2 linked regions of the Tribolium castaneum genome follow. The protein of the gene in region 1 interacts with the protein of each later gene in a pairwise test. Links are inferred from orthologs where the notes say so. Each region holds a gene or a part of one and is shown in the gene's direction. Other genes may lie near its edges.

What was found.
Region 2: the proteins of ubiquitin-conjugating enzyme E2 W (region 1) and E3 ubiquitin-protein ligase MARCHF5 interact in binary tests that used the Homo sapiens proteins (3 or more experiments, as listed by UniProt). The link is inferred for Tribolium castaneum from reciprocal best matches to the Homo sapiens genes UBE2W and MARCHF5.

The regions. Positions count from the first base shown.
Region 1 is NC_087394.1:30,472,367-30,478,414, forward strand, and holds ubiquitin-conjugating enzyme E2 W, read left to right. Parts: upstream 1-2,400; 5' UTR 2,401-2,558; intron 2,559-2,614; 5' UTR 2,615-2,663; coding exon 2,664-2,687; intron 2,688-2,739; coding exon 2,740-2,831; intron 2,832-2,881; coding exon 2,882-2,984; intron 2,985-3,036; coding exon 3,037-3,192; intron 3,193-3,238; coding exon 3,239-3,314; intron 3,315-3,365; coding exon 3,366-3,379; 3' UTR 3,380-3,580; downstream 3,581-6,048. Other genes in the region: putative inositol monophosphatase 3, read right to left, coding at 182-526, 579-727, 781-1,258; NFX1-type zinc finger-containing protein 1, read left to right, coding at 4,209-4,275, 5,838-6,048. UniProt on the Homo sapiens protein: Accepts ubiquitin from the E1 complex and catalyzes its covalent attachment to other proteins.
Region 2 is NC_087395.1:24,412,515-24,419,016, forward strand, and holds E3 ubiquitin-protein ligase MARCHF5, read left to right. Parts: upstream 1-2,494; 5' UTR 2,495-2,733; coding exon 2,734-2,898; intron 2,899-2,943; coding exon 2,944-3,377; intron 3,378-3,571; coding exon 3,572-3,890; 3' UTR 3,891-4,094; downstream 4,095-6,502. Other genes in the region: l(3)07882 (nucleolar protein 14 homolog), read left to right, coding at 1-1,405, 1,453-1,943, 1,993-2,148, 2,194-2,293; 2-aminoethanethiol dioxygenase, read right to left, coding at 4,197-4,892; uncharacterized protein C2orf42 homolog, read left to right, coding at 5,363-6,062, 6,109-6,502. UniProt on the Homo sapiens protein: Mitochondrial E3 ubiquitin-protein ligase that plays a crucial role in the control of mitochondrial morphology by acting as a positive regulator of mitochondrial fission and as an important regulator of immune response.

The DNA.
Region 1 (6,048 bases):
CATTGTTTAACACATTAACAGATTTGTGGGCTAAAAATGTTTCCTTACCGTTTTTTAGTACCTACTACGCTGAAAAAACAACAAATTCCTAAAAAATTTAAACATTTGAACGCCTTACAAAATTTACTTTTTAATCACACGTAACAAAACTCTTTAAAACAAATTCAAGACTTATGTACAATTAAAATTTTCCAATGAACATGTCATGGTTGGTTATAGTGACTACTAAACCCTTCTCATTCTTAACACTGGTATCATCTTTATAATCAATTAATTCGTTAAATTTCGTTGTCATTTTACCTCCCACTGCCTTTATTATAGCGTTTCCTGCACAAATATCCCACTTCTTGATGGCAGTTGTGTGCAAATAAGCGTCCACATTGCCCAAGGCAACTTCCAAAGCTTTATAGCCAGCACCGGCGGCTTCAATTATGTCCACATTTTTCATTTTTTCACTCAAAACTTTCTTTATTTCACCGCTGTGCGACATTGAGATTATAATCTTTATATTTTCACTCTTGCTCCTCTAAAAGACAAATTTATAACCTGATCACCATGTGACAGTGTTGTATACCTACCGCATATTTTAAGTTTGAAGATTTTGCTTTGCCAACCCATGCCCAAAATGTGTGAGATTCAGTGTTAAAAGGTTTGTGAATGACACCAATAACAGGTTCTTCTTTTACAGCAACGCAAACCATTGTAGTCACATACTTGTACAATTTTCCTAACAAAGATTCACTTAACAAATGCTTAAAATGCAAGTATTTAGTACAGTACCAGTGTATTCATAAGTTGCATCTAGTGGATCAATCCATACAGAAATATCCCTAATTTCTTCCAAATGGTCATCTAAGCTCTTAGGAATGGTTACATGTCCCAAGTAATCGATTTCTCTGTCGTCACACTGGACCTTTTTCTCCTCTGAAATTATATGCAGGGTGGGATATGCATGTTTCAAAGTTTTCATAATAGCACAGTGTGACGAATAATCTGCAGTGGTGACCCTATCTTGCATTCCTTCTTTCGTCAACCCTTTGCTTTTTACTTGTAAATTGTCCTTGTTCGCAACCACTTCTTTGCCCCCATTTTCCGCTGCCTTAATTGCTACCTCCAAGAGCTGCTTTAAATTTATCTTAACGCTTGGAGGATCATTATTTGAACTTGTAGTAAACACGTAAATAAACAATATCAGCACAGCTCCCGATATTACACACAGCCCTGTCTTGTTTAGTCGGATAACACCCCCAAGATTCATTGTTATGCAGCCGATGAGTCTCTATCTACATCATTCGCTTTTTGTACTTATTTACTAAAATATTTTCAATTAATCAACCAATATCATTCAATACCACCGGTCTTACAGTTGAATAACAATTATCTTAAGACTATTTAGAAACAAACGTCATCGCATTTTTGCACCTTACAAATAATCAAAAAAACCTTCAACCACAATAATGGTGAAGTTAGTCACAAAATCACCAAACGCTAAACGTCATTTTCAAGGATAGGGCATAGGCATAGGCGTGCGAAATTTTTTTCATAATACAGATAATAACTGTGATAATAATAATAAAAGCACTACCACAAGCAGTACTATTTGCTTCCCAATTTAAATTTTACATTTGTTTTAGAAATCCACCGGGTGGTTATCAAATATTGTATAAAACAATCATAGCCAACTTACGTCAAATGTCGCTGCGCTCCATGGAGTTTTTGTTTAGGAAAAAAAATCTATGTTAAACTTAATCTCAGCGACACACTTTGAGCTAAGAAAACCCACCAAAAACTCTCAATTTGTGCTCCTTTTAATCAAAAAATGCTGTTGCAAAATTCTACTGTAAACTGAAATGAATATATATATTTGCTTTCCTGCTAATTCCGGTCAATAATTAAGTAAAAAACAACTTCTTAACACTCTGCAATTCAAGTACTACCGGACCAAATTTTACATTCAGTTCATTTTTATAAAAAAACATTTTGGTGGAAATTGGGTACTCTTGGCATTAACTTTTATATGAGTTGTCATAGTAAAATCTTAGTTAATTCCGCCACAATGTTTTTTATGAAAATGAACCAAAATTAGTTTTTTTTTAATAACGTTTTATTTTATATTTAGGATTAAGCCCTTATTAATAGACAACTATATTCGGTTCACTTTCATAAAAACCATTGTAGTAGAAATTTGGTACTCTTGGCATTAACTTTTATATGAGTTGTCAAACCGAAAATAGAAATATAACTTTTCTGTGACATAGCGGAAAATCAAATCAGTCAAATTGTGGTATTAAAAAAATTCGACACTTTTGATGAATCTTTTAAAAAAGCGTTCACCATAGGGCACTTGGGTCTTGGTTTTTCTATAGTAGTGTATACATAAGACAAATCGTTGAGGCTGGCAAAAAAATCCTCGATTTGTCCCCATGGTCTCTCCGCCACTGGCGGGAATGAATAATAGAATTATTTACTTTGGAACCATGGTTATCTGTCCATTGTTCGTGAATTGAGGAGCATTGGGGGACAGTAGGTAATTTGGTCGGTTGTTTTGAACGTCAAAAGTAAGTTTTTGGCTATTTATTTGAAGCTAAATTAAAGTCTGTTGATCTGTGTTCAGTTAAAATCTCACAATCTAATCTGTGGTATGATGAAAAGTTAATTCCAAAATGGCAGGGTTGTCGCCGTCTGAAGTAAGTAAATTGCATTGTTTTTCTAACCTCTTCACGAAATCTCTCAATTTAGAGAAGGTTGCAAAAGGAGCTCATGTCACTGATGAAAGAACCTCCACCAGGAGTTGAAGTCGACTTCGATCTGGCAGAGCAAAATTTATTGCAGTAAGTTAGCAATAAACTGCCAATAACAATGCTAAATACATGACTTCTAGTTGGATCATTAATATGGAAGGGGCTGCAGGTACATTGTACGAAGGAGAACGTTTTCAATTGCAGTTTAAATTTAGTAACAAATATCCCTTTGATTCACCAGAAGTATGGGATTTTTTGTTAGACTAGTATTGTGTTTATATTGTTTGCGTTCCAGGTGACGTTTGTAGGCAATAACATTCCAGTTCACCCGCATATTTACAGCAATGGACATATTTGCCTTTCCATATTAACAGATGATTGGTCTCCTGCACTGTCTGTTCAGTCTGTTTGTCTTTCAATTGTTTCTATGCTCAGTAGTTGTAAAGAAAAGGTGAGACCTTATTTAGTATTACAGTATTTTTAATCTTGTTTTACAGCAAAGACCTCCCGATAATGCTTTCTATGTAAAAACTTGCAATAAAAATCCAAAGAAGACAAAGTGGTGGTATCACGGTATTATCTCCTATAATGTAACCCACAATTCCTGATTATTTTATGTTTCAGATGATTCTGTATGAAACTATATAAATAACTTATGGTCTTGTGATTTTAATGATTCTGTTACGCTGGATGCTGTTAGTTTTAAATTTTTAATAGATGTTATTTATTATGACAAAGCTAATTATAAAATATCTTTAGAATTGGATTAACAGTTTTTACATAGTGCCTGTCCTCCAGATGTTGTGTTGTAATTAATTAAATATAAGAGTTAAAATTAATATTTTAAACCCGCCCTGGGCTGTTGCTTATTTCTTACCCGTGTACAAATTTTACGTCTATCAATTAACAAAATCAAAACCGAAAAATCTTTGTTTTAAAGGATTCCTTAATTATCGGACTCGTTTCTGATAAATAAATGAGAAAAAAAAATTAGGAGAAAATAAACGCAACCCAACATACACGCACCTAATTTTCGTTAGGTTGGTATTAAAGGCGTGGTCGGGGATTTACCCACATATGTGAAGACAATCACTTGACATTTATCAAAGCGCATTCGAAATAGTATGTTACGTGTCATGTGGGTGCAGCAAAATTAAATTTTCGATTTAAAGACGTATCTAAGCACGAACTCAGATACAAAATTTTGATGATGTACTAAAAGGCTCTTCTGGGTTACCTTTTGTTTTTGGTAGTAGCTGCGGTAGTGTTTTTTTTTGAAGTGAATATAAACCATAAAGGCTAAGAAGGTTTGAATAAAAGTACATTGGTTCAAATGCAATTTGGTAACACGTCATCGTCATTGTCTGGATAAAGTGTGTTGCAACGTGCAATATTAATTTTACCTTTGTCTTTGTCTTGATGAGCCTTGTACTTTGTTACTTAATTATTACCTGCTATTAATTTGGTATGAATCCCGAAAAACCAAAACCTGAAGTTCCAGCAGGGGCCGGAAGCAGTTGGAGAAATTCCACAGGTAAGAAAATGTGAACCAATATAAGTATTAAGTGAATCTTTTTATAAATCATAAAGACTATAAATGGGCACAATAAAAAAAGAGTTCCAATTACACTGTGTGAAAACAAATATTTTAATTTAGACGAAATAACTATACTAAATATTCCATCGCTTAATCGGATAACAATTTGCTGTGGTACCATTTAATAGGTATTTGTTAGAAAAAACTTTGGTAGGAATTTTATTACACCCTCGGACTCCACTATTTTAATAACTACGAGGTTGTGACTCTTGGTTATGTAACCTTCTGAGCTTTTGAATCCTCACCCGTAGTGCAATTTCCAGGCGCTTGTTTGTAATAAAATAATGTAGTACTATTGTTAATATTACTGCTACTATTTCTGTAAATTTATATTACTGCTTAAGAACAAAAGGACTTAAATCAATGTTTATTATTAGAATTCCCCTGGAGTCAGGCATCTGTTGTATACCTCAGACCTCTGCCAATGGAGTTATTTTGGTCTTTTGCTTTCGAGAATCCCTTCCTAAAGATTTTTTTCATGTCTTTTGTGCAAAATACATTAAAAAAATGACAAAAAGTCAAATCGAATTAAAATTTTATTTCAATTAAATGGCAAATGTGAGCTAGAAAATTTGATTTCTACTTAATTTTTGACAATGTTTTATGTATTTTTTACACAAAACAACATTGAAACATCGTTTATAGTTTTAGAATGTTGACAAAATTGTTTCATTATTTCTAATGATCATTAAAAATAATAAACAATGTCTTGTTTAGCGATTTATTTAATTAATTAATAGGTACAAGAAACTGAAATTTCTATCAACGCTGATTTTTGTGTGATACTAGTGGTTCTTGAGATACAGGAAAAATAGGTACGTTTTTGAAAAATAATAAAGAGTTGAAATAATTATTTTTATTATCTTGAACAATCTAATCTGGCTTTCTACTATTGATTTTTAAATGATTAGGGGAATGATTGTAATTTGTTTTCAATTCAATAACAACAACAAAAAACTTTTAACGAGAAATCAATCAATTACAATATTTGGATGTTCTTAAATTATCATTACCTCACAAAAGTTCCTGAATTTTTATCTTTTACGTGTATTTGGAAGTATAGTTTTTACAGCAATGGTTTTCTGGAAAGTTTTTACAGAAAAAGGTAGTTATGGTCTATTGTCGAAACCCCCAACAATTTTTGTCGTAAAATACTATAAGTAGGTAAATACTTCTAAGAAAAAAAGAAAAATTATCCAGATCAGTTTTTATTTATCGACAATTTCATCATCTTTACCAATGTACCAATTTTACCCAGTGCCTTAATTGTTAATTAACAGTTAATAAATTAATAATAATCTATGTTCAATAATATAAATGAAATTAAAATTTGATGTCAAGTTTCAAAATAAAGGCAACAATTAAAATTTAAATATTGTTTTACTTGGAGCACGTCTTCGGCGTGTATCTCTATTGTAAGCTGGTTAACAATAATAAAAAAATCAATTCACCGTTCTTCGGGTAATTCTTTTATTTCAAATATTCGCTGTTGGTTGTAGATAATGCCAGAGGCACGCCTAAATACTTCGGCCCAAGGAGAACTCTTGGCCAGCGGTGGATACCACCGAGTGGGTCCAAAACTAACAACCAGGATGCAACAGTTCAGTTGAGACAAACAAAATCAATGGGATTTAAGTTCCTTGAGGATTTATCAAACAACGATCCCGAGAAAATAATATTGGTGTTGATGAAGGAACGTGAGGGCCTTTT
Region 2 (6,502 bases), on another chromosome or scaffold:
GATGGCCCGGTTCACCGCCCTTCGGAAAAAAGCGCACAAAAAGTCGATTTTTAACCTGGCCGACGACGAAGTTCTGACCCACAAGGGGCAAACTCTTGCCGAAATAGAGAAATTCGACGACCCGAGGTCGGATAACGAGGACTCGGATGAGGACAAGTCGGGTAAGCTGGACTCAGCGTTTGTGGGGGACGCGCACTTCGGGGGCGGCGTTTTGCGCAAAACGGGCAAAGAAGGGGCGAAGACGCACCGAGAACTGATCGACGAGTTGATTGCCGAGTCGAAGAAACGCAAAGCTGAGAAGCAACGCACCAAGGAGGCGACGCTCGAGCTCACTGAGAAATTGGACACGGAGTGGAAGGACTTGCTGCCGCTGGTGAGCAGGGCCCAGAAGGGGGAGCCCGACAAGGGGGCCGTCGACGACTACGATAAGGTCATGCGTGAGTTGAGGTTTGAGGCGCGCGGGACGGTCTCCGACCGGTTGAAGAGTGAGGACGAGGTGGCTCAGGAGGAAAAACAGCGGTTGGAGGAGTTGGAGGAGAAGCGGCGGGAGCGAATGCGGGGGTTTGAGCCCAAGACTCAGAAGCACCGCAGTGCTGACGATTTAGACGATGATGTTTACGAGGCGGATCCTGAGTACATGCTCAGCTACAACACGGAGGGGGAGGCAAATGTGGAAATTGGGGCTGAGATAAACGGGAAAACTGTTGGTGGGGAAGAAAGTGACGAAGAAGAAGAGTGTGAAGAAGAGGAGGAAGAACAGTCCGATGATGATTTGGCCGATCTTAAGGCCGAAACGAGCGACGAAAGTGACGAGGAAACCGAAGCCAAGGCCACAAAGACTGATGTTGTTGCAAAAACCGACGAAACGTCGGCCGACCTGCCGTTCACGTTCGCACTGCCTGACTCCTACGAGGCCCTCCAGCAACTCCTCGACGACAAATCGAGTCGCCAACAAGCCACGATTCTTGAAAGAATGGTCAAGTGCAATCACCCAAGTCTCGCCGAAAAAAACAAAAACGGACTTGGCACACTGTTTGTCTATTTATTGCAGTATTTGAACGATTGTGCGTCGGAAAAAAGCGCTGCCCGTTTGTTCGAAATTTACAAAAGTTTGGCTCCGCACATTTTTGATTTGGCTCAGCTAAATAAAGAAAATACCCACAGTTCGATGCTTGAAGTGATTAAGGAAAAACACGACGAGTTTAAAAAACGACCGAAGGATTTTCCCGGCTTGGAGTTGTTGGTTTTTTTCAAGCTGGTCAGTTTGTTGTTCACAACGTCCGATTTTCGGCATCAGGTTGTGACCCCGTGTTTTGTTTTTATTGAACAAATTTTGAATAAGTGTAAAATAAAAAGTGGCAAAGATATCGCGTACGGGATTTTTTTAGTGACTTTGGTTCTAGAGGTGAGTTTTTGGGTTGGTGGGACTGTGTTTAAACCACCGATTTTTAGTATACTTCACTATCGAAGCGGGTTTTACCGACTGCGATTAATTATCTCGGAGGGATCTTGCATATGGCGATCCCCAAGTGTGGGGTGAAACTAATCAAAGTCAATCCTCCCTTCAAGCCCACGACAAGTTCTCTAGTTCTTGTTGAAAAGTCTTGCGAGGATTGTGATTTCAAAATGGAAGCTTCTGATTTAGAAAGGGACGAAATTAACGATTCTTTCAAAATCAGAGCAATTTATACTGTTTTAAGGCTAGTTCAAGACTTTGACAATAATCTAGTTTCTCTGCCCTCAAATGTTGAGATTTTTAACGATATTCGAGCGTATTTGGAGTTACTACCGACGCGAAATTACCCGAAAAAGGTCGCCGATTTGTTTGAAAGCGTTTCACAACAATTAAAAAATCGCAAAGTTGAGCGAAAATTAGAATACATTGTTTTGGCAGCAAAACGACCGAAAGCGCTACGCTTATATGAACCTAAAATTGTGGAAGTGTGAGTTATCATTATTTTTTTTTTGTTTTTCGTTAGTTGATGATTGTAGATTTGATGGTAAAAAACGTAAAATTCAATCAAGGGAAAAAGCCGAGCGTGACAAATTGTTACATAAACTTAAGAAAGAAACGAAGGGTGCATTGCGTGAAATACGGAGAGATAAGGCGTTTCTGGGACGTGTCAAAATTCATCAACGCATACAAAGGTAGGCAAAAAAATTATTTTCCAGTTATGACATTATTTTCCGTAGTGATAATGAGCGCAAGGAAAAAGTTAAACGAATTTATGCCGAAGCTTCGATCCAGCAAAGCGAATTGAACAGTTTAGACAGGAAGAAGAAACGCAAGTGAGGCTTTTAGCCCCCTTTAGAATTTTGTAAATAAAAGTATTGTTTTTTAAAGTGAGTTTTTATTTCGTTTAAACAATAAAAATTACTATATATACATTTGAGTTTCATTTATCCATTCCAATTGAAAAAAAAAATGTTTGAATTTTTGTCCAATTACAAATTAGGTTCCCTAAATATAAAAAGTGAGGTTACCTCTAAAGTAAAAAAAAATGAACGGAACGATTTGGGCCTCAAATTCTGCGGTACCACAGGCACAAAAGTGATTAAATGCCCCAATTGCGTTGTCAGTGCCCCCCAGCCTCATTTTAGCCCCCTTTTAGTGACTTTAACTGTCACAATCTGGCGCACCTGTCCCGCTTTTTGACACTTTTTTGACATTCGTTAAATTTTCGTATTTTGGAAATCCACTCTCCTCAACATGCCTCTCCCCATATAAGCCCCATGGACCCCCACGACTCATTCGAAAGCGCCACTGACACCGCGCCCCCCATCCAGCTCAAACCGCGCGATTCGCGAAAATGCTGCTGGGTCTGCTTTGCCACCGAAGACGAAGACTTGGACGCACTGTGGGTCCAGCCGTGCAAATGCCGCGGCACCACCAAATGGGTACGTGCCCCCTGACCCGCAAAACGCCTCTAACCCCGCTTCCAGGTGCACCAATCGTGTCTGAAACGCTGGGTCGATGAGAAGGAGAAGTCGGGCCATGGGGGCAAAGTGGTGTGCCCCCAATGCCAGACCGAGTATATCATAGTCTTCCCGAATATGGGGCTGTTTGTCTTGTTGCTAGACACGGTAGATGGTGTTATTTTCCGGGGCTCGTTGTTTCTCGCAGCGGGGATTGCGGCCAGTGCGATTTACTGGACGGGGGTCACGTATGGGGCCATAACTGTGATGCAGGTCATAGGACACAAGGAAGGGATTGATTTGATGGAGCAGGCTGACCCCCTTGTGCTCCTTTTGGGGCTTCCCTCTATCCCGGTAGCCCTGATTTTGGGGCGCCTGATCTGCTGGGAAGACGCCGTTTTGAAGTTCATGAGACGGCATTGCCCCAAAATCCCCATTATTCACAACGTACTGCCGTTCAGGTGCATATTTTTTACTTAATCAAGTGGCCTATGCATAAATAATCGGTGTTGCCAACTTTATTTAAAAGTCACAGGTCACTTCGTTTAGAAAAAAATCAGGTGGCCTATGACTGAAATGAAGTTGGCAATGATTGGTGTTGGCATTTTTTTTGTCACAGGTCACTTTGTTTAGAAAAAAATGCGTATGTTTTTAGGGGTGATGTCCTCCAGAGTGATACAACGGTCGATAATGACCTGCCTCCAGTCAGCAGCCCTGTCTCAGCGACGCGAATTTTATGCGGGGCTTTACTCATGCCTACGATAGCGAATTTATTCGGAAAATTATTTTATAGTTCAGTGAAATCGAATTTTCATCGAACGATTTTAGGTGGAATTACTTTTATCACAGTTAAGGGATTTTTAAGGATTTATCATAAACAACAACAGTACATCCGGCAATGCCAACGCAAGATTTTAGACTACACTGAAGCCAATATTTCTACTTATTTACATCATAACAGAAATTCTGATTAAATTAATTAATAGGACAAATATTTTTTATAGGTTAATTAGTTGAGCATTCCTTGTTTATTTGACTTGAATTGATAAATTTCGATCAAGTGACCCGTGACGGCACGGGTCACTCGATCACTTGTTAAACGAAATATTTTTGCAAGTAACCAAGACTTCAGATTTATTAAAAAAGCAGTTCTGTTGAATAAAACATTTTTAGACAAATTTTAAACTTAATATGCGTTATCTTATCACAAGAACGGAATTATACACTGGCAAGTCCTAAGCTAAAGAGACTAGATAACAGAAATTAGATTAAGCCCTTCGCTAGGACAAGTCCGGTCCTGTGTAGGGAAACGAGTCAGTCCAGTACCAACTAGGCGAGGTGATTTCCTGCATTCTGAACACACTGGGGGCCACCTCCCTCAAGACCCGGAAATAGGAGCACTTGCGTGCCCCATTCCCCGGAATAACAGTCTCGTAAGGGGGCGCCAAAATGTCAATGAACGCCGCTGGGCCCCCCACACTCTCAATCTCGTGTAAATTCCGCACTTCGGGTTCAAGCACACAACACTCACTGTGGGTTTCTAGTAAATTCTCGGCGCATTTTTCGGCTGTTAGGAACTTCGACCCTGGGGGGGCCTTCCCGTCCACTTGCCGCGTCTTTTCAGTGTTTAGCGAGTAACTGGTGACTTTGAGTTTCCCCCCGACCACCTTAATGAGCCCGTGCATCTGGGGGTGGTTGTGCAGGGGCAGCTTCATATCGGGTTTGAGAATGAAAATGCCGATTGTGAGGTTATAATCCTCGTAGATGTCAATGTAGGTCACTGGGGCCTTGTTGGGGCGCTGCCACAGGGCCTCTGTCATGAACTGGGGGTGCAGGTTCACGTCCTCGGCGGTGGTTTTGTCCAAAAGGGCTTTGAGGATCTCCATGTTTTGGAAGAACAGCTCTTTGTTGGTGAAGGTGGTGACTGCTTGTTTCAAAACAGTGCCGATTTGACTCGTTAGCATTTTTATCAGCATCAGGTCAAGGGAAACAATGTTTGGACGGTTCTAAGGAGCGAAAACTGGAAATAAACACGGGGGCTATCGATTGATTGGAAATTCAAAGTGACAGAAATCAGCTGGACGCGGCTAAACGCAGGATGCGATCTGTCAAAACAATATTGATCCACAAATTTTGGGCGAAGAATTAGTTGTTACAAAAACCTTGCGTGTTATTTAATAAAGAAATGAAAAATTGCTTGTGTTTTTATGCGAGTCAGTACATAATTTTGTAATTTAAATAATGTTTAAATTTCAAAACGACCGAAGCGCCCTCTCTCAAAATCAAAAATTCAAATTTAAAAAAAAAACATAAACCATAGGATAAACTTGTAACATGTGTTATAAATAAATTGATGATTGTCAAAAAGCCAGACTTTGTTTGCTTTCGGCCCCGCCCGTTGCCCCAAATTTTCTTGGCTTGCGTCTATTTATAGCCCCTCAGTGCTATGAATGCGACCCAGTCCATTTACACCTTCCTCCCTGCGTGCTCCTCTCCGGCCAAACCCTTCGCCGATTTGGGCCGGCCCACGAAACGGGGCATAAAAAAATGCCCCAAGTGCGGCATCTACAACGGCACCCGGGGCATGATCTGCAAGAACAAGCACTGCGACGCCGTGTTCAAAGACTACGCCGACAAGCGCAAGTTGAGTCTGGACGCCGTGCGCCTCGTCGGGATCGTGCGCCAGGTGTACTCGGTGCGGGTGCGCGACCGGGGGCCCGACCACCGGGGCTTCGTCCAGCTGCCGCTGCTGAACCCCGAACAGGACGCCCTGTGTTTCGTTGATTCGTGCCAGAGGCTGTTCGACGACTCGATTCTCAAGTGCCATGAGCTGGAGCACAGCGAGACCGCGCTGCTGTGCGTCCACATCGACGCGGCGATTAAGAGCCAGAGCATGGCAGCCCCCATTGAGGTCCAAAAGGAGGTTTTGGCCTCGTTGAAGGTTTCGAAAGAAATTAAAGCGAAGCTGTGGCAGTTGGCCACGGAGAAAGAGGGGCCTCTGGTGCAGAGAGTCTCGCGGACCGTGATGGCGGTCAAGTGCCAAGTGAGCCCCAAACACCCCCTGGGGTACCTCCACTTTACCTTCGGGTGCACGAAAGGCCGCGAGATTTACGACAAGTATTACTGCAGTTGTACCGAATTTATGGGTAGCTTTTGCGAGTCAGTGGGACGTTTCGGTGATTTTTGGACCAGTTTCAGGGATTATAAGCAAGGCGAGCAATGTCCGACTCAAATGTGTGCACTATTATGCGTGCATTTGTGCCCTTGCCAGCGACCCGAAATGTGCGCAAGAGTTTAGTCATTTCATTAATTACGAATTGGAGAACGGCTCCGAAGGGCCACAAGTTGAAAGTGTTAAAAGCACGCCTAAACCTGACAGGGTGCCGAAACTGAAGGTGGTTGAGCGAGTGACGAAACGTCCAAAATTCAAAAAACTGGTCCCTAATGTGTTTCCGGTTGAAATCAAAGTGCTGGAAAGTGTGGAACAAGTCGCCCCAAGTGGGGGAATTTCGTGGGGGTTTATCGAATGGTTGTCTTATGTGACTGAATCCATAAACCAAACCATGCACTTCGAGAATTACGGCAA